4 linked regions of the Drosophila melanogaster genome follow. Changing the gene in region 2 together with the main gene of any one other region gives a genetic interaction. Each region holds a gene or a part of one and is shown on either strand. Other genes may lie near its edges. The genes, in order: lab, Antp, Taf3 and pb.

The links.
Region 1: of Antp (region 2) and lab, changing one suppresses a phenotype caused by changing the other (phenotypic suppression), as found in Drosophila melanogaster (one study listed by BioGRID).
Region 3: of Antp (region 2) and Taf3, changing one enhances a phenotype caused by changing the other (phenotypic enhancement), as found in Drosophila melanogaster (one study listed by BioGRID).
Region 4: of Antp (region 2) and pb, changing one suppresses a phenotype caused by changing the other (phenotypic suppression), as found in Drosophila melanogaster (one study listed by BioGRID).

What each region holds. Positions count from the first base shown.
Region 1 is NT_033777.3:6,675,579-6,680,332, forward strand, and holds the start of lab (labial), read right to left. Parts: upstream 3,013-4,754; 5' UTR 2,769-3,012; coding exon 1,553-2,768; intron 1-1,552. UniProt on the Drosophila melanogaster protein: Sequence-specific transcription factor which is part of a developmental regulatory system that provides cells with specific positional identities on the anterior-posterior axis. Required for proper head development.
Region 2 is NT_033777.3:6,996,220-7,000,779, forward strand, and holds the start of Antp (antennapedia), read right to left. Parts: upstream 3,010-4,560; 5' UTR 1,987-3,009; intron 1-1,986. UniProt on the Drosophila melanogaster protein: Sequence-specific transcription factor which is part of a developmental regulatory system that regulates segmental identity in the mesothorax. Provides cells with specific positional identities on the anterior-posterior axis.
Region 3 is NC_004353.4:460,823-468,856, forward strand, and holds the start of Taf3 (TBP-associated factor 3), read right to left. Parts: upstream 6,007-8,034; 5' UTR 5,848-6,006; coding exon 5,679-5,847; intron 4,494-5,678; coding exon 3,975-4,493; intron 3,919-3,974; coding exon 2,233-3,918; intron 1,680-2,232; coding exon 1,566-1,679; intron 1,507-1,565; coding exon 683-1,506; intron 592-682; exon of another isoform or gene 226-591; coding exon 1-225. Other genes in the region: CG33941 (uncharacterized protein), read left to right, coding at 7,029-7,172.
Region 4 is NT_033777.3:6,739,059-6,743,679, forward strand, and holds the start of pb (proboscipedia), read right to left. Parts: upstream 3,006-4,621; 5' UTR 2,110-3,005; intron 1,117-2,109; 5' UTR 1,042-1,116; coding exon 492-1,041; intron 1-491. Other genes in the region: zen2 (zerknullt-related), read right to left, coding at 4,191-4,621. UniProt on the Drosophila melanogaster protein: Sequence-specific transcription factor which is part of a developmental regulatory system that provides cells with specific positional identities on the anterior-posterior axis. Controls development of mouthparts, and labial and maxillary palps.

The sequences.
Region 1 (4,754 bases), 320 kb from region 2:
TGCTATTTATTTATTTATTCGACTGACCTCAAACTCTTTGAAAAGCAATTAAAGGCTTACGCTCGAATTTTATGCAATTCACGAAGTATCAATAAAAATACTCGTTTTTTCAGTGGCAGCTGCTTCTTTTGGATAATCGACGACGTTTTATTTATCGCATACAATATGGACTTTTCTGATCTTTTTTATCAAAGCGAATACATTTTCTTAGCTGGCTAATTCCGAGATACAAAACTCCACTCGCCAATGTGACAAGTAACAACCTGACTGACTCTGCACAGGCATTGACAAAATTATCTGAAATATGCAAGAAATGTGCCAAAGGAGGAGAGTCCAGGAGAACGGCGACAGTTATGAGAGGCGGAAAGGGGCGTGGAGGTCGGGGAGAATCGAGATTCTGTAGCCGGGGGCTGTAGAGCCGAGGGCAGAGGTGGGCGAAATCTTTGGCATTTGAAGAGACAGGAATATTTTTAGGTGACATGCCCTCGGTTGGACGTCTTTCTTGACATTTTGTCTGACGCATCCACTTGTTTTATGTTTGCTAATATTTCTGCAGTGCTAATTGTTCATACTTATGATCAATCTATTCTTGATGGCCAAGTTCTCTAACTTATAAATGTACTCATAATATTGTTTAATCTGCTCGTTCGACGTCATTTCTTTCACAGTTTTATTCATCTTCTTCTGGTTTTACTGGTTGACTGATTCTTGTATCTTGGCCTGTCAATCAGTTTTGAAAGTCATCGTTTTACGCTTTTTGGTATTTACTTGAGGTTCTTTCTTATGCTTTTCTTAAAAAAATCACCATACGTATGTATAGAAGTGTGTGTATTTCTTTCCATAATAACTGTCCGATTAACTTAATACATTCCGTAAGCTATATGTGATCTATTGAGCGAACTATACGAGTTTAGAGAACTATAAGAGTTAAAATATGGCAATTAGCTAAGAATGCGGTTTCTTAATTGCCAGAGACTTTGCCTAATGAGACGCGTTTAGTTGCCCTTAGAATGCAGACATTGCGAATGTGCGAACAACTTGAATAAAAATTGCACAAATTAAATGTATTTGTATCCATTCACAAGGAAAGAAGGCAATTGTAGCGCTTGATAAAACGACTTGGGTTAATCTATTGGTTCTAAATTTGCAACAAGACCTTTTCACTATACGCCTCTACAACTCGCGTCATTCGAAATGTCCACGAATATAAATTTGCAATAGTTTCAATTAGCATTTAATTAGGTATTTAATATCAAACGACTACTTGATCAGTGTTAAAAATAAATAAAGAGAATTCAATTTTTTAAAGTAACCGAACCCTATATATTCATCTGATTTATTTAGAGAATATATCAGTAGGAGCATTTTTTTGTGTCAGTATTCTATTATATTTACCTTATTTATTATATAATTCTAAAATACTTAAAGAAGGGAATAAAAATTCGATTATTTAAGGAAAGAAAAACGGAATAAAATCATTCGGGACGTAGTAATTTGAGCCTGTTTCAACCATTGAAACCCTATTCCGAGTTTACTTTCTAGCTCAACTTACCTTGAGGCTTTGGAACATTCCTCTTGAGTTGCATCCACTTGTAGGTGGGGATGCTGCTGGAATGATTTGGCGACTTTGATTGCGTGCTGGCAGGATGTGCTCCATTCGAGGCGGAGGTGGAGGAGGAAGTGGAGCTACCCGGGGAGATCACTCCCCCGCGCTGCTGGCGATTCATTCCACCGTTGGGCGACACGGAGTTCTGGTGGTGCTGCTGGTGTGCCGCTGGGGATTGGTTCTGCGGATGTTGCGGTTGCTGGTGCGGCTGCTGCTGTTGCTGCTGGACTTGTGGCTGTTGCTGATGCGGATTGTTGGCCAAGTTGCCCAGGTGTCCGTGGGGCAGGCCGTGATGCATGTGGGCGTGCATTCCTAGCGAGTCCATGGCATCTAGGGCATAGCTGCCTGCCAGATGTTGCTGGTGGTGCCACATCTGCGACTGCGTGGCCTGCTGCATCATTGGATCCTGATCCTCCAGCACCATTCCGGGTGCATAGCTGGCGTGCAGGACGGCGGCGTATTTCTCCTCGATCTGGCCGGCATATCCGTGAACCGGAGCCTGAGCCTGGGCCGTGGGATACATGCAGTCCAGGTTGGTGTACATCATCCCGTTCTCGGAGCTGATGATTGCTGCCTGTTGCTGCTGTTGTTGTGTGTTGCTGGTGGCACTTGCATTGGCGGCGGTAATAGGTGAGCTATTGCTGGGTGGAGCAACTGTGGCCACTGCGGCGGTAGCGTAGTACGAGTGCACCGAGTCACTTTCGTAGTAGGAGTCCGCCGGAGAGTGGCTACTAGGATGGAGCGGCGTGCCCGGATTTCCCGTGGTCGTACTCGTGGTGATGCCATACTCCGCCGCACTGGGACTAAAGAGATGCGAATGCGGATAGAGCTGTTGCTGCTGCGCCTGCTGCTGTTGCTGGTGCTGCTGCACCACCTGGTGGCTGCTGGTGGGCGGTGGTGTCAGCTGCGCCTGCTGCTGCGGATAGTAGTTGCCTGGGGAGCTGCTCTCGTAGCCATTGTAGGTGAGGTGCTGCTGGGGCTGCTGCAAATGCTGATGCTGTTGCTGCTGCTGCAGCTGCAGGTGGGGCTGGTGTTGCTGCGGAGCAAAGTAGCTGCTGGCGTTGGCCGCCGACGCGGTGGTGGTGCTGTAGCCGTCGTAGGCATTGGCATGTGGATGGTGGTGGTGCGGGTGGTTGCCGTACATGCTGCTTACGTCCATCATATTGTCCAGCCGGAACCACACTTTCTCGCCACTCCGATATAACCGGTGTATCACTAACTACCCTTCACTTGCCACACAGTTCTTGAAATAGTTCTTTAGCTGTTTGCTTTCTAAGAATATTACGCGACGGTCGAGGGCTATCGACGTGGGTTTTATCTGTATCGAACCGAAAAACACGACTCCCGTTGGCGATGACGACGACGACGTGCTGCCTGCGCGCTTACCAAGTCGTGACTGATTACTGGCCCGAACCCGGTTTCTTTCAGACCGCACAACCGCTGGTCTTGGCCACGCCCCTCTGCAGACTGCCTGTGGTCCCGCTTCCTCTCGTGTGTGCTACATACGTGTTGCGACTGCCGTCTCGCTCGCTCCCTGGGATTCTTCGGATGACTGCCCTTATCAGTGGTTCGGGGGTTAGTCATACGTATATACAAATACCCGTATTTCAACTACCGGTTTTTGGCAGTTGCCGTTTCCATTTAGATTTTCTCGTTCCCTGTTTGCTCGTTTTTTTTTTGCTAGTCGCCATGGCAGGAGCGGATTGACGGCTACTCAAGATGGGAGTTCTATGAAGGAACTTGAAATTATGCAATGAGCTGGTGTGGAACTGGCTGGGGATGATCAGATCTCTAAAATGATCCTTATTAATGGGAAACACTTATATAGATCGTCGGTCCACCTAAGAACATTAAGCATTTTAAAGAAACTTGTTCTAGATCTTACTTAAAATGTTTTGAAACATCCAATTGACAATTCACTTCCCGTATGCCAATTAGAAAAACTTACTATTTCTTATCATCATAATAGTTTTACTCGAAGTCTTCTTCGCCATATATGGAAGTCGGGAAATATAAAGACCATTTATTTCTAATTTAAACTAATTCAAAACTATGCTCTAATCCAAAAAATTGTTGTTGTTATTATTGTTTTTAATTCCTTATATAGGTATTATTTAAAGTACTCTCTGTTAAAAGTATCTGAATGGTTTCTCAAGTGTAATTAAATTCTCTTTATAAAATGTGTATTTATTAATACTAAATAGTAGACAACTCTTCGCCCCGAAAATCTTTTCGCACATGTTTTGGGCCCAGTTCGTGTCCAAGTTAATCCACCCCTGCCGCCTGCTGATAGTATTGAAAGTTACGCCCCTGACCATGCTCATGTCGACGTCTTGTTTTAACTGGAAACCCAATGTTGTGTGTTTGTTTTGCGGTTTTGGCACGTTTTAGCACCTCGAAATTCCCAAATGAATTGACGGACAGGTAAAGAAGAGGAGCTTGCTATGGGATTGGAAATGCGAACCGGGCACTCGGAATGGGTTTTCGGCTTGGGAGCGGACCGGGGTTGCGACCAGGAGGAGCTGCAAACGGATGCTGACTGTGGCAGCTGTCAATCGTCATTTGCACATATGACAGCTCATCTATGGCAGCACTGTTGAATTTAAATCGTCGTCGAACGACTTCCCCGACCCCGACAGACCCCGAATCCTGACATTATCTCCGGACCTTGACTCTGACTCAGTGGGATGCAATTCGTAGGCGCCCCCTAAGAGTTATCCGGTGTATGGGTCTGTCACTTGGCAGGGATAGAGATACAACCGTCAGATATCTTCATGCACCTTTCACGCACAATGCATCATCTTTGGCTGTCTGGAAAACTTCGAGGTTCGCTCCTTCCACTCTCGGATTGGGAATTTTTCGTTTTTTGTTCAACTTGATTGACATTTTCACAAGTTTTTGTCTCTACACTCGCACGGGGAATTTCGGAGGGGGAGGTCGGCTGGAGTGGCCATTCGTTTCGTCCTTTCGGGCGGTCCTGCCCAACGCTCCAAGGTGATTTGTTATATTTTCGGACAGCAGCAATTAATAGTAACAGGATGTGTGCGAGTATCTTTCAGTAATCACATACATATGTATGTACATATACAACTAACATACCACGGCCCAATCCCGATTCCAAGCCTGAAACTATCTCACATGGCTAAAG
Region 2 (4,560 bases):
CTATCAATGGGGGCTTAAATATAATTTTAATTTCAAAGGCAAGTCAAACAAGTTTTCTTTGTGGTGGTCGGCTGTTTTCGTTGAAGCTTTTTGTTGGATTCGTTTTATTAACAACAATTTCGTTTACTTTTGTTGCTAAGTTTTGGGCTTTCGGCCGAATCTCAGAGGTCGTGATTAATGTTTTTACAAAAGAGTTGTCGCCATTGGTGTGCTGATGTATAAATCTTTTTGCTGCTTTGCCATGAGTGTGAACTTGATTAAGAATCCGTTTAAAAGGAAGTGGTTGCTCATGTATAAGGGTCTAAATATGTTAGTAAAGAATTGTAGGACTTAAACAAAAATAGTCTAGGGAAATGTGCGTTTTCATACAAATTTTGAATATTTTCCCCCCATTTCTCCCAATTGCATCGGTGTTTTTTCTGTCTGTCACTCGGCCATAAATCATAAAAGTTTTTGCCGGGCAAACAGAACGGAGTTTATGATTTTGTCAGCTGTGTAACATTTCCAGCTGATAAAATCAATAAATTATGAGAAAATAATTTCATTTGATGCCATCTATTTGATTTTGCAAAAATCGAAGCTGGCAAAAATGCAAATGGAAATGTGTTAACGATAAGCAGGCTGAAAGTAAAAGCCAGGATAAGTTCATTAAAGCCCTTTTGGACAGATCGCTAGAGATACTTTCCAAATTATGGAACAGATTTTTAAATGTTTATTAAATTACGAATAAATTCCGCACCTCTGTGGGGCGCAAGTGCAATGAGAGAGCGGGAATGGAGAAAGAGAGAAAGGTAAAAGGTAGCGAGCGACAGACAGAGAGGACGACAAATATGCAAAGGCCAGACAACTAGGACAACAACAAAATCAGCAACAACAAGGACAATGCACTGCAACAATGGCCGCATAAATTTTCTATGCGGAGAACCCGAGAGTGTCCTGTTCGTCCAACTATGTGCGTGTGTGTGTGTGTGTGTATGAATGTGTTTGCGTGTGTGTCTGAGAGAGAAATGGCTGCCCTTTCCCACCATTCGGAAGTGAAACTATGTTGCCCAGGATATGCGCAATAATTCAAAAACGAATTCCAAGTTCAAAGAGCCCATTACTCGTGGCCAGTTAAGTTCGGAGCTCCGTTTTCAGTTTTCCAGCTTCAACTCCCGGGATTCCTGAAAGCATCCCACCACCCCTCCTCCCACTTTGCAAATTTATGCAAATGGCTAATAAGCCTGTCAACAGTTTGCAGTTTGCAGGCCAAATGAGTGATGACCTGGCTGTAGCTTCCGAAAAACGCCCTTTGAGTTATGAAGTGTTGAATCTGAGTTCGGGCAAAAAACTTATACCTTGCCCACTGCACATCGAGAAACAGATGCGCTATTCTTTGTACAGAGTCATTAATGTCAAAACTTCCACATATTTAGACAAGTATTTGGAAATGTATAAAGTTTCCGTCGGCATATACATAGACTGATATTCTAATCCATGTAAGCTTCATTGAAATGATTGATTTTATTCAAACATTTAATGGACAGCTAATAGTAACATAATATACTTATGTCAACCATTTTTTCAAAAATAATGTTAAGAGAACCTCACAATCATTTTTGTTTAAAAATTATATATAATTTTTAGTGACAATCGAATAATTCTTTGACGGTATGCATAGATGACATTACATTACATGTACAATTACCTTTGCAATTATTTAACAATATTGATTTTTTACTACAATTTAAAGTTAAGATTTTTTCTTCACTTTCAGTTACGATTATTATTAAATTGAATATTTGAAATAGTTTGGATAGGCAGAAATAACATAAAATTTGTAGTAAAATATAATTATAATCAATTTAAGCATTGTTTTCAAAACGCATTAACCATTTTTGTGAATAAAGACATTTTAATCCCAATTGGCCAATAAAAGAAACATATAACCATTTTGATTTCAGTGAAGAAGGTGAGGAAATTGAAAAGTCGAGCCCTGGCACTTACCTCTTAAATCCAATAACGTGCGCTTATCCTTCAATCCTGCTGGCTTTTGGAATTCTCAGCTAACGGTAGCTTGCACGTGCGCCAAAATAAAAAGTTTGCCCGCAGTGGAATCGAAACTTTTTCCGCTCCTTATTCTTTTCCGTTTTATGTATTTTGTTTTTTATTATTTATTTTTTTTTTGTGTTATTTTGGCTGTCTACGTTTTATTTCTGTTGAATTTGTTGTGGTTTGAGTTGAAAGCTTCAGCTTTTGTTTGTTGCTAGTGTGTAGATATTGCTCGATTTACGGGGGACTAGAAAACGTTGTTGTACAGATTCGAGTTTTCGGTGCACGATGCGTTTTTAAGAATAGATAAACACTTAGGTAGTAGGATTTGGCTTGATAAATTTGAACTCTAGCTCATTTGCAGCACAGTCAGCCCAGATCCATTAGTAGTATTGCACAATATGTGGATGAATTTTAATTTGAATCCAGACACCTGCCAGACACTCGAACATCATAAAAAGAAACGCGCGCGAAGTTCAATTCCAATTTCTCTGACGGTGTTTTTGTTTGCTGTTTATGCGATGGCGCCTGCGATTACAATTACGATTACGGTTACGATTACGGTTATTATTATAATAATGGGTTTATGACGATCTGCGCCATGCGATGGACAGTGTGCGACTGATTGCGGTTCTAATTTTTTACGATTATTGTTATGATTATTTTTACGGCCTTTATGATCTTAGCGGGCTGACAATTGGGATAAGAGAGCGGTCGCGACGACGGAGAGCGAGCGAATACGAATGCGAATAGTTCAGTTCAGTTTAGTTCAGTTCAGTTCAGCTCCGAGAGCCCAGCCCCAAGATATTGGCCGCTATAGCGACTACGGAATACGGGGCACCGAATACCGTTATGCTGCTGGGATCCCTCTCGCACACACACACATACAGTCGCACGTGGGCTAAGTCAACGGAACACGGACGGGTCCTCGAGTGCTTTGTTGTGTGATGTTGATTTCTTTACGACTCCTATCAAACTAAACCCATAAAGCATTCAATTCAAAGCATATACATGTGAAAATCCCAGCGAGAACTCCTTATTAATCCAGCGCAGTCGGCGGCGGCGGCGCGCAGTCAGCGGTGGCAGCGCAGTATATAAATAAAGTCTTATAAGAAACTCGTGAGCGAAAGAGAGCGTTTTATTTATGTGCGTCAGCGTCGGCCGCAACAGCGCCGTCAGCACTGGCAGCGACTGCGACCGCGACAGAGGTCCGATTCTGCTTCTGCTCCGGTCATAAAGTATTTTGCAAAAGAACCGTTCTGCTCTCGTTGCCATTTTGAGTGACTGAGAGAGCTGAGCGAGTGGGAGCAGCGAATTGGCGCCTGACTTGAGTTGACCGGCTTGAGTTGCCGGCCCGAGCTCGCTGAGCTGCAAACTGTAGTCAGTCTTCAAAAGAAGATCTTATGATGCACATCCAGTTATTTTCGATTATTCAGTTCCCAGATTTATTTTGGTTGGTATATTTGATTTCACTTTTTTATTAGGTTTTTAAGAAATTTGTTTCATTCATTTTGGTTTATTAAATACAATTTTTTGCAAGGTTCAATTTTAAGTTTCTTTCTCTTAAGTGCTCTTTTCAGTTTCTCTAAAATCGAAACTATTTAAAATTCGATTGTCTGGGCATTATCGAGTAGTTTCTACTTTTATTTCGAAGAGCGATTACTATATCTTTATAACTTAATATCTTTATACCTTTTTAACCATTCTTCTGGACTATATGGTCAATCAATTCATTTGCTTTTAATTTCTTAAAATAGCGTAACGATGTGAAAGATGTGTACATCTTCAGTTTACTTGTTTTTAAATTTTTGCGGTCAAATCTACCATTTTGTGGGAGACCACCTTCTATAAAATCAATTAAAATAATTGTACAATTTACAAATACGGTTCTCTAAAGGCCTTGTGTTGACTTTTTAGTTTTTAAAGTATCAATCCGTCGATTACTTCAGACTGAATCATTAATTTACAAACTCATTTATTTATTTATTTTACCAGTGAAAATAATCTAAAATAGGGTTTTGCAATGGAAAGGTCGAAAGTTTCTGTTTGCCTATTATGTAAAATAATTGTAAATTGTTATGCTGCTTAAGTACTTATAAGAGTAAAAAACGTTTTTGATTTCGATTGTCTCGATTTTTTATCTTTTTTAGATGTTCTTAATTAACGCTTATAGATATGGTATATAAACGTATAAACGTATCTTTTAATAATTATTTTTGTAAATATACCACAACCATACATAATTAACAGTTTTGTATAGCAAATGTGATTTGCCCGATGAAGTCATATCTAGACGTTTTGATATCTCATTATCGGCTAACATTCGATAATCGGGAGAATGATGGCCGCCGTGAATTATGGAACCCGGAATACGGTACTTGGAACCGGGGAGTATGGCATCCAAACATCCACTTGCCGACGGCAAAACCATCATGGCCGAGTTTATATCGAAGCGCGCCAACAACAAATCACATGCACGCACACATGCAGGCCATCACTCACACGCACACAATCACAATTCAGCATCGC
Region 3 (8,034 bases), on a different chromosome or scaffold from region 2:
TAGTTTCCCTGCATCTGTCATCTCCTTTTCTGAAGACGAAAATAATGTAGATTTTCCACTAAGTTTTAGTGTTAGTTTTGGTATTTGATTTGGAGATATTCCACTTGTGGCGGCACCTAACGATGGATTTATTGTCATGGAACTTGATTTCAATACAGGTTCATCGTTGTTAGCTAAAGGCACCTTGTCAAATTCTTCTGTGTCATCTGGTATATGGACTAAAATCTAAAATAAGAATTGATTAAACTATAAATTTAACTTTAAAAGATTTTGCTGAGATATGTGTATAGACTAAAATAAAATTTGTAAGAACTAAAAATATAACTTTAAAAGATTTGGCTGCTTTACATGTTTATGTAGGATTAAGATGTTTTTGTACCTATACCAAGCTGTAGGCTTCGATGTTATAATTAGTCACAACAGTCTATATAAGTATTAATACAAATTTGGAACATAATGTATAATGTATAATGCATAATGCATAATTTAATGTTATTATACGGAATATGTTCACAGAATTCATGATTTTAAAAATGTTTCCCACATAACTTGCTGTTTTCAAATGAGTTTGTGTACGTACTTATCGCAAAGGTTGCTTATCAGCTCCGGCGTATCTACATATCTGATCCAAATACCACAACACGAACACCTATTTTTTTATAAATAAAGAATTGACACAAACCTGCTTATCTTTATCCTTTTTCTTTTCTTTTTTTTGCCTTTTATCATTGGCCTTTATTTTCCGGTCGGATTTGAAAGATGGTAAGCCAATCTGATCCGCTTTCTTTGATTTGTCCTTTTTCTCTTTCTTTTTTTTATTTTTCCCTTCTTTAACCTTTTTTAGCTTTTTGTGATGTTTCCGCATTTTCGGTTCCAACGACGTTAATCCAGTTGGTGTTATTGTAATATCTTCGTAGTTAGAAAAGGTAGAAAAAATATTGTGCTCTTCTGAAATTTTGATTTGATTCGGTATGGTTCCACCTAAGCTACTGAATGGTACTATTTTGGAGGAATATTCCGAATCACTCACTCTCGACAGAGGAATAAGATCTGCTCCCCCAGCTAAACTGAATTTGTCACCTCCCATAAAATTAGGCAAGTTAAATTGTGGAAATGATGAATGTGAAGCTGGCGTGTGGGGTACGCTTTTTACATCGGGAAAACTCTGTTTAACAAGTTTTTTAAATTTTTTAAGTGGTTCGTTAGAGCTTAGAGACACAATATTCCTTAGATCCATTTTGGATTTTTCTTCACCATTAGATGCAGCTGACGTAAACGAGGAGGGATTTAGTTCTGCGAAGCTGGTTTTAACATAAGTTGGTGATGATATTGGGGTTTTTCTTTGAACCATCTGCCTGTTGTGCATTGATTCATCTGAATCATCTGAAACCTCTATTGGATCATCAGGATTTCCAGAAGCCTCCAAAAGCGGTTTCGTGTTTATTTTGCTTGTAGCCTGTGCAGATGGGTTTTCCAATATTGTGCTGGCACAAGATACGCTTTTACCTACAGATATAAGTAATAAGTTATTTTTAAATTACAAATATATTTACCGTTAAACTTACACTCGGCGAATTTCATTGAGTCAGGTACTAATGGAGCAACATTGCAGTAGTTTCGATCCATTTGCAAGTCAGTTTGCGTGGAAGATCGGCTCAGAAATTGATCAGAATCAGTAACTAAAAATTATTTTTTCTAATCATTATAAATATTTAAATATTTTGGTCGACAAATAATTCACATATTGTAGGTAGGTACGTATTGTCAATATAAAAAAAAAATTTGAGCTCCTCCAAATATCTAGTTTATGACAAACGCAAATATTTCATACTAACCCATCTAGAAGCTTCCCAATACCACTTCTTGAGTGTGTACCTATACCTATTTTCTACATTCAACGGTTCAATGATTAGTTTCAGATTAGTATTTTTGCTGTAATGAATTAAGATATTGCCGAGACTTTTATGTAAGCAATATATTCTTCGAGCTGTGATACTCGAACTGGTATGGTAAAGTAAAGTTTGGGTCAACAAACTTCAGCTGGGTTTATGTCTCTAGAATCTTTATGCTTAATCTCAACCTACTAGCTTTTTATAGTTCATGAGATCTCGACGTTCATACGGACGGACAGGACAGGATCAGATCCACTCGGCTATTGATCCTGGTCACGAAAATATATACTACGTATATATACTACGAGCAATGCGTATAAAAATAACTCATTTGACGTACCAGGAGAATCCTTAATTGGTGGACATCGAACAGTATCCGCAACTGATTCTTCTGGTCCAGGATAATCTATGAACGGCGAAATAGGTATTCTGTTACCGTGATTCCCGAAGCCAACTAAACCAGTGACTGCAGGAAAAAGCCCAGGTCCAGTAGGAATAAGACCAGGTCGTGGTGGAAATTGCAATAAAGGAAGCAACGGAACCATTCCTGTTTGAATTCCAGGGTAAATTGATGCATTTGACAAAGCATTGGATATAGTCACAAATTTATCTGAACATTGTACATCATTATTTTGTTTTGTGGGTCGAATAGAATTATGTAGTGTTGATGCCTTTTCAGGAGAACAGCTCTTGTCTAATTGCATTACATTTTCTGGTAATGATTTGTACTTTTTTCTGTCCTTTTTTTCTTTTGCATACAGGTTTGACAAAAAATTATTCGAGGGCTGTTCGGTATTACACAAGTTGAGAGGTTCTGTTGGCGGGGAGACGTTTAAAGAACTTTGGGTTATTATCATTGGAGATGATGATAGAGGCAGTGTAATAGCTTGGCTTGACTTTTTCCGTTCGACCTTATTAATTAAAGGTTGCGATACAACATTTGTTTGTTTTATTACATTTTTTCCTCCAGGTTTGCGACCTCGCTTTTTTGGCTTTGGCGAATCAATAATTGACATTTCAACGCCTGCTTTAGTTAAAGGTATAGTTCCATCGAATATATTGCAAGGGTTGATTTTCATACTCGGAACGTTTTTGTTTTCAGAATTTAGACCAAGTGAAGGTGTAGGAGTTATAGTAGTCCCCGATGGAAGACTAATTAATGCTGAAGGGGTCATTGTGCTTCCAAATACAGATACCCCGGTTCCAGGAGGTACTAAAGTCGCCCCAATATCTGGACGTGGAGTACGTGGCTTAGAAATTTTCTTAAAAATGTCCAATTTACTTCGTTCTGGTTCTGATCCACTTTTTTTTTCTGCCAATAGCACTTGCGTTTGTTGAATTACAGATGGCTGCACTGGATAAATTGAATTTCGAAAATTATTTTCAATCTGGCTTGTTACTGTTGGCGGCTGACTAGGGATATCAGCTTGTAAAGCATTTTCATTTGAGTTAGCTTTTATGGCAAGGCCGCTCGTAGTTTGAGAATTCTGCAAAAAGTGTTTTTCGTCGATGTCCAGTTGAAGATCATTTTGCTTAAGTTTGGACTGCTTCTTAAATATTTTTTCTAAATGTTTTTTATTTGGATCGAAGGATCCGCGGTTAAATTTTTTTTTTAACTTTTTCATGTTTTGTATTTGATTAATTGAGCTGTCTCTTTGGTTCTTTGAGGTTTGTTTATACATTTTTAAAGCTTTTCTCTGTGACTTTTCCTGAGCTTTTTCAAACGGATTAGTTAGAAGTTCGCTTTGACCGGGTTCGCATATTAAATCATGTTTCTGTTTTCTATTCTTCTTAGGTGTTGTAACAGTTAGCATCGTATGGTTGTTAGACGCATATATTATTGAAGACTCTGAATGTCCACTTGTCAATAATGCAGCATTTTGTTTGAAGATTTTAGTTTCTGAGGGAATGATTTTTCGTGGATTTACTGTTTTGTCTCTGTCAGAAAGCGCCAGTTGTGGAGATTTTTGTAACGAATTTACAATTATCGTCGGTGAAAAGGGTGCATCCAAACCTAAAAATTTTTCTATAAACACCGATACATGAAAATTTATTAAGCTGTGGTATAAGGATAGGTCGTACCAACTATATCCGGTATGATATCTTCGGGGAGCTTGCCTTCAATAGCTGGACTTATGAATCCCCCTGTTGTCATTACCACGCTGCTCATTTCGCGGACTGAGCTCCCAACGTCCAATTCAAAGGCATTCGACCGGAAATTTATCACAGTATTAGGAGAGATAGAATCAATGTGCTTGGCGCCTAACTTATCAGCTGCGTTTGTTGAACTATACTCTGCTTTTGAACAAAACTCTTGCTTTTCCGAAAATTCCTTTTGAACATCGGCTGGAATTTCACGAAGTTCGGGGTCCTGCATTGGTGGCAAGTATTCAAATATGTAGACAGGTCGCGTTAGAGTTTCAGCGCTTCCAGGCTTAAGGAAGTTCATGTTTACAGATTTTCCAATGGGAAACTGTGGTACATCCCGGATGAATCCAACAGGCTCGACATTACCTATGTAGTCCAATAGTTCTTGAACATTGATGCTGAGATTTTTTATACTTAAGCGTGCATCCTTAAGGTTCGGCTCTATCCGATTTGCTAAATTAGTAATATATATACTTGTCAATTAATATTTTTATAAATTTTATCCAAATAAACAAAGCATTTTTGATTTTTTGTTTGGTTTTAATAAGATTTTTTTGAACTCATATAAATAACGTTATTAAGTAACATACCAAGCAAAATTAAAAAGAAAATATAAGAGAACGCTTTAGTCGAGTTCCTCAACTATTTATTTTTATTTCTGTTCCGGTGGTTACAAGGAAGATATATCTTAATCTAAGATATATCTTAATCTAAAATATATCTTAATCTAAGATATATCTTAATCTAAGATATATATAAATCAAAGATTTATTGTTTTTTTTTTTTTGGTGTTTACAAGACAATTAATGAAATAATAATTTGCAAAAAATACAATCTACATGCCTATTGAGGTTTCATAATCCCCAATCGAGACCCCGGCAGTCCCACAATTCATCGCTCCTTAAAAACATCCCAAGATCATCGGTTTCGCCCACAGTACCAACTGCTTTGGCTGCACAGCCACAAGCAGGGAATCAGCAATAAATTATGGATCTTTTATTTCCAGCCGAATGCTAAGCTGACGCTCTAAGTCGCCGAGCACATAAGTTTCGTAAGAAACTTTAAATTTTTAATGCGCATCGGAACTAGAGAAATTATATACTGATGTAGGTGAAAGGGACTGGGCGAGGAAAAGGGAAATAACAATAAAAGAAAGAAATAAATTAAAAGATTACTTTTCTAAGAGGCACGCTTCCTTTTTCGCGGATAACTGGGACTAGATTTATGCGAGTAGCAGGCGCGAGCTTAATCAGGAAATTCCAATGGCAATGGATTCATTTTACACGCAACAACACGTACTACTCGCAGAAGCGATGTACATTTTTCGTAATACATTTCTGTACACATTATACTAATATATTTTACTTTAAGGTTAAACGGACAGGTTGACCGGTATTCTAACGCAACTGAAAGCAAAATGCCCTAACTCCAAACAAAATTGTTTTAATGATAAATAATGATTTATTAATGATAGTCTGATGGAACTGCAGGGATGATAAGTTATACATTTATGTACATGTACATATATGTCACATACTTTTTATTGAATCTCTTATTCTACAAGTAACGACTATAACTACTCAGGCTTTGTTGTATTTCATGATCGGTTCCGTTGATTTGAGGGTCTATACCACTTACCGTGTTCCATATGTCTATGCATGTCTCGAGCGAACTCCTGTACAAACTTCTGCAATATGTCTTGCAACAACTCCAAGGGTGCACTTAGAGTGCAGCTGTAACCAATAGTTTGCGTTATCTGCGCAACGACAACAAGGGCCAAATCTGAAGCGTATCTGTCTGCCATCATGTTCTTTCATGAGGTACACCTTCTTTAGAAAACCTTGGAAATGCTGTGAATAGGTTTAACCGTCCCACGAACTTCCTCTTGTTATTAAAATTAATTGACTTGGTGTCTACACCTTTATTAGACGAACTACAATCTGTGGATGTTTAGTTAACGATAACTTATCGATTTTGCCTTTGATGGGAAATATATCGATATTTGGGGTATGCCAAAAGTGGTAATCATGGGGTTCAATCAAATTCAATTGATTGACCAACATAAACAAACTGCAATTTTTTATGTGGTTTGAAAGTGGTTATAAGGGCAGATAAAAGGTTTGCTTTCGGTATGTTCGCTGTTAGTGTTCGAATAAGACACAAATTTTGAAAATAAGACGAAAAAGTTTTCTAATCCTTCTATTCTTTAAAATAGATATTGAACGATGGAAATATAATTAGAGCTTGTTTAATAATAGAGCGCTTGAATGCAGAGTGAAACGAGAGTCTTGTGTTGTTACCCGTAAAAATGTTTTAGTTTTACTACTACTATTACTATTATTACTACGATTACTTACTACAAATTTTAACAGCATCTAATGTTATGTTTATTGTGGAAAGAAAGTAATGCCCAGAACAGCTATGAAATTACCGAATAAATAATAATATAATTATAAATATAAATAATATATATAAATATAAATTTAATAAAATAACATTAAGCCTAAAATCGCTTCAAAAATATCATGTGAACTATATCCCAAACATGTGTATATATGCAGGTAATTTAGTGGAAAGAGGGTATAATGTATAATGACACAAAACTACTGATAGAATACTAGTTATATTTTCGATCAGTTTAGAAGAAACTTATATCTTAAGACATTTATTGGGTTAGGTATTGTTTCCCATATATGTTCTAGTCGAGTATTCACACAAAGAAGCGTGCGACAGATCTTCGGCACTTAATATTTTGTATTTGTAATAATGTAAAATATAAAAATTAACAAATAAAACAACTATATGAACATTTGCATGTGTTGGGTATATGTGTAAGTCTAATAAAAAGTTTTATTCTACTTAAAGCTCAAATCCTTTAAACTTTTCAGCTAGTTATTGAAATACTCAGTATAAATGAGTAAGAAGATCTCCATCAACATTGATCTGACCAACGTTTTACTCCTTTTTTAATCTAATAAGAACTAAAAAATGCAACCATTGAACTCGAGCATTGATAAAGCAAAACATTTTTTCATAGAGAGCGGGATCTTAGGACCCGTTAACTTTAAATATTCTCATGACATGATTCGGAAGACGTCTACCATTCACATTGACGAAACTCTTAAGAATCAGGTAAGGGTGGATAATCTGATTCCCAACGAATACACGTTTACACCTATGTTAACCATAATAGGTGTATAGGTATCGTATTTCCTTACATATACTGAAGATTTCATATGCAGTCGGTCAGTTATCGAGTAACTGGTTAGTCCGTCTGACTATCAATCTGAACGCTGTGATCTCGGGAACAATGAAAACTAGAATATTGATATTAAGCATTAAGACTCAGTCACAGAGTCTGTAAGAGTTTGTTTCATGCCGTTGCGACGCTTGCTCCAACGACGACGCACCCTCAATATTCATACGGTCACAAAAAATCAATCAACCACTAGCAAAAACACGAATACACTTCAGTGCGCAGATTTCTCATTTTGCGCATAATGTACGAGCTCAAAGAAGCTGGAGTCGAAAAAATGGAATTTTTGAAATTTAAAAGCTGGAATCGTTTGCTCATTTGTTGTCTTTATTTGCCCACGTTTGGCCACTCTTTTCAATTTTGAAAAAGTGAATACTTTAGAAAATATGAGACGTTCTAGTTAACCTCGGTATTATTATTTTGACCATCTCTTAAAACTAAATATTATAAAAAAAAACTTTTGCCCAATCAGTATTCTTAGTTTTTATCGTTTGTCCATCCTTTAAAATTAGTTTTTTTCGTTTTCCCATCCTTTAAAATAAGTATTTTGAATTAAAAACGTTTGTCCAACCCTTAAAAATTTTGTTTTTTTGTGTTCCCACCTATTAAAACTAAATTTCTACATATGTATGTAATAATTGTAAGTTGTGGCGCCAATTCGCATGTTTTAGGATCGGCGGACAAATTCACATATGTACTTATATGATGATGATGAACATGTATATACATATCCAAGTT
Region 4 (4,621 bases), 260 kb from region 2:
TTGCTAGTTCACATGGTCGGAATTCAAAGGGTTCTTGAGGATCTAGATTGGCTGCTATTAAAGGAGGGAGAATAAATGTGTTGGTAGAGGGATTTGGTCGGAATACATTTTGTAAATGGTCAGCGAAAGCACTGGCTCTTTCTTCATCACTTCGAAACCAGGTGCCAGAGGGACTTCGTAGTGGCATAATTGGCGCTATTGGAGTCTTTAGGTTTCTGTGAGCTCGTGATTAATGAGAGTTTCGCATTTCACCAGCCAGTACACGGCAAGAAAAAATGGCCGGGACAAGAGAACCCAATTGATTCCGGTCTAAACTGATATGGAAAAGTGTCTATAAAAATATCTTACTTTTTATTTGATTGATTCAATAGTTTGAGATGGACTGATGAGATTATCGCCTATTCTTCAGAGAATGGTGTTCAAATTGACATGGTCGATCGCTAAATTAAAAACCTTATGCTTCCCCCAGTGTAATGTGCATGTGGACTTACCCTGATTGTTGTTGTTGCTGCTCTTGCGGGATGTCTTCTTCTCCTTCATCCAGGGATACTCCGGCACCGAGTCCATTCCATCCGGCGTTTGAGGGACAACGCCAACCGGATATCCGACTCCGACGCCGACATTGACATTAACGTTGACGCCTACTCCGCCAATGGCGCCGGATCCAACAGGTGTTCCGATTTTGGGACTCTCCGGACTCAAGTGGTTGAGGAATTCAGCCATCGACGGCTGCGAATTGATGAACCCGCCCTCGGATGCTGTCATCCAATAGGCCGTGTCCGCGCTCCGTTTATCACAGTTCGGGGTCATCTTGTTGACCATGAGCACCGACGGCACAGGTGGCACCCCCTGCTGTCCGATACCAGGCTGACCAACACTCACTCCCACGCCACCCACACCACCCACGACGCCCGCACCACCGCAACCACCCACTGGCAGGGACGTCTGTCCAGTTTGCACCTGCAGCGGGTTGAGTGGAGATTCCGATTTGATTTGGGTGCCCATTGAGGTCGTGTCCAAGGAGCTGCAGACTTCTTGCATAGCTTGGGTATAATTTTTTTTAGATTCTTTCTATTTCAATTCCTGAGCGTATTAGATGTTCCTCAGCTTGGGAACCTGGAAAGGAAAGCCATTTTTGTAATCTCATAATAATGTTATCACGATTCAGTTCCCAGGAAGTTAGAGGTTTCACTGTTCTTATCGAATGTGAAATTGAATAATGTATGTATATACTTCATTAAGATATGTTATCATTATCTTCATTAACCTTTTAAGAAACAAAGACATCGTCACTTTACTATGCTATTCAATGTTTATTTTATTATTATATTTATAATTTTTGAATTTTTATTTATATATTTTGAATATATATAATTTCAATATAATGTACGTATATACTTCATTAAGATATGTCATTATCTTCATTAACATTTTAAGAAACAAAAACATCGTCACTTTACTATGCTAATCAATGTTTATTTTATTATTACCGATCCAATTTTTCACATTGCAACTGTCAAAAACTTGACTATTTTTAAATTACATATTCCAATTTATATTTCATTAGTCTCTCAGTTTTCTGTGCCAGAAATTCATTTGTAGTCTGCATTTTTACTATTGCTCTTATAGAAATTGTTAGGCCTTCACTTTAAATTTATGGCCACCTAATTTCGATTGAGATTTGACAATATGTATTGTATGTATGTACAATACATACAACCTGTCCTACAATGTTACCTAAATTGGCTTGGTTCGCATACATTATTTTACATTATTTTTTTAAGGATTAATAGTCAGTAAATAAATTAACATATTTTAAACAGAAAAAGTTATAAAGCTGTTACATATCCTCATCTAAGAAATGCCGCATAGCTAATTTCCTAGGAAGTATAAATGAATAAGAAAATTCGAATATATTTTCCGATTCCGCCAATTAAAGATTTGAAATATTTCTTGCAGTAAACATTTTGCCGACTTAAAAGGCTCGTATTTTAGACTAACATGTTGTATCAAAAACGAAATAACGACACGCTTTGATTTTCTCGTGCTTTAAAAGGATACACTTATTTTTAAATGTAGGTAAGAAATATGTGTAAGATAATTTCGTACCATATTAAGTTGATCATTTACAGACCACAGTATTCCATATTTCTCCTCTTACGTTGACATATGCGTTCTTTGTGGAAATTTCACCGGTATCACTTGGGTCACCGTTTTCACTATTGTCTGCACTCGCTCATAGTAACTGGCTTAACTTTTTGTTTGTTTTTTTTTTTTAGTTTCAACCGGCACAACTTTTGCGATGCGGGTTTTGCGTAAAACTTCAGTGTGTCAGGGCTTATCTGTGGGCCGCGAAAAGAGGCGACAACCGCGACGAGAGCGAGGGAACCCAGATCCGAATGTAAATATGGCCACCGTTGTGTTTGCTCAACCGTCAAGTGGTGTTTGGAGTTGGTTTTTCGCTTTCAGGTTGACATAGACACACACCTTTTGGCAGCCATGGCGACGCGAAAGGCCAACACAACCGACGAAACAACGGCGATAACGACAATAGTGCAAGTACGCGCTGTACAACGGTGCGTATGCGGAATGTGTTGATTTTGTAGAGTTTTGTAGAGTCGCTGCGATCGCTGCAATGGCCACACACAGACACACACTCAGTCGTTGCAATTCGTCTGAGATAGTTTTCTCCACTCGCACTCATACACATGTGGGCACTAGCTGTCCCTCTCTGGCCTTCAAGAGGTGCGCAGAACCGGGTTTCCAGGGGTTCCTAAAGTGCTTCTCAACCGTATAGTAAAACTTTTGGTTTCAACTCGTTTTAATAATATCACTTTTTAGTTTTCAAAATTTTTGAACTATTTTTGTAGCTGTCATTTTAATAAATATTATTTTTTAGATACCGAACCGATTCGTAGCGAGAGCGAGACAGAGGGCTTTTGGGGAGCTTCGTGCGGTTCCCGAGAGCTAGATAGCAGCCAACAACCATTCCATCCAATAGCACCGAACGCACTGAACTGGGATTTTGGGACCCAGTATCAAGGAGTGGCCTAAGCGACAGCCACCGCATCCATCACGCTTTTTCCTGGTCGGCACATGCGCGGTGCCATCTGGAAACTGGTTACTATAGCCATTACGCGCAGAGACCAGGGGGTGGAGTTCACACACACCGGCGCACAAGTCTCCGGCCCTCTGATTGGCCGGCTCGGCAGTTTGTTTTGTATCTTTGCGGTCGTGTAGCTCGGGAACCCCTGTATCTTGGGCCATCATTTCCGCGGCGTTTTCTTGCCTCATTCACTTTTTTCCACTTCCAACGCGAACGTGTTGCTTGTGACGGAATTTATTTGGTTTTTCTTATTTACACATTTCGCATCTGCTAAAAAATGAAAAGAAAAAGCCACAGTAGCGAGTTTCTCGCTCTCCGGCTTTTTTGGCTTTCGGCTATGGGTATTTTTGACATTTTGCTTCGCTCATCGCTCTTTTTGTTTTGGGCGCCTCTTCTCCTGTCAATCTTGGTGGCATTGCTTTTTGCCTTTTGGCCGCTTTTTCGCCCTCTTTTTGCTAACGTTCTCCAATCCAGTCCGCGCAGAGTTTGTAATTATGTGCGGATTTTAATGCACACGGGTGTCACTACAGGTGTAAAAATATTGCCACGATTTTGCACTGCAGCTGGGGGTGGTGTTCGTACTTGGACGCTCTGACGAACAAGTTGTCTGACAGCAGGGAGCTATGTGATCGGCAGTCTACGTAATGACGATGCGCACCATGAGATTGTTTAAAATTGTGAAAAAGATATATGTGTGAAAAATACAGAAACTTTGAGGAAGCATTAAGTAAAATAAAAAGCCAAGGCCATTCATTATAAATATCATATAAATAAATGTTTTAACAAGTCAAGCTTATTTAGTTTCTCAACTGTATCGCCCACTAAAATGGAATTTTGTCTAAAAATATTTGATTTGTCTGGTGGTGAAATTTTTGAAAATCGAGTCCGCAAAATGTATCCCCAAATGCTGCACAACCAGCATTTTTTGTTTGAACAAATAAATGCGCACATTAATTATAAAACATATTTTATTTCATCCAAAATAAGTAATAATAATGTAGTCACAGAAAGATATTGCTCGTATAATACAATGATTATATATGTATGTATGTACAGTTGCCTAAACATATAGTCAAAGATATATTTAAAAGTTCAACAAATTTTGAATAAAGTCATAGTCAACATCCAAAATATCCGACGATGAAGCAGAAGAGCTATTCGAGTCCCAGCAGAAATTCTGTATCATTGGCTGATCCTGTGTATTGTGTTCAATTACATTTTCTGCGATAGGAATCGTTGGCTCAAGGCCCAGCCATGAACTCGCCCAGTTAGCATCGAATTCATTGAAGGGCAGTTGGGGAAGAGCCATGGGCTCAGGAGAAAATTCATGGAGGTAATCGTAGCTCTGATAGGGTGGTGTAATTTGACCCTCCTCCAGGACACCGTGATCAACCTGCCGGAGTGGAGCTGTTTCCACATTTGTGTTGGCATATCGAAGGAGACGCTCTACGATCTGGTCGTCCTTTTGAAGATCTTCGCTCGACTGGGAAGAAAGTGGAATAGATGTGGTCAGCG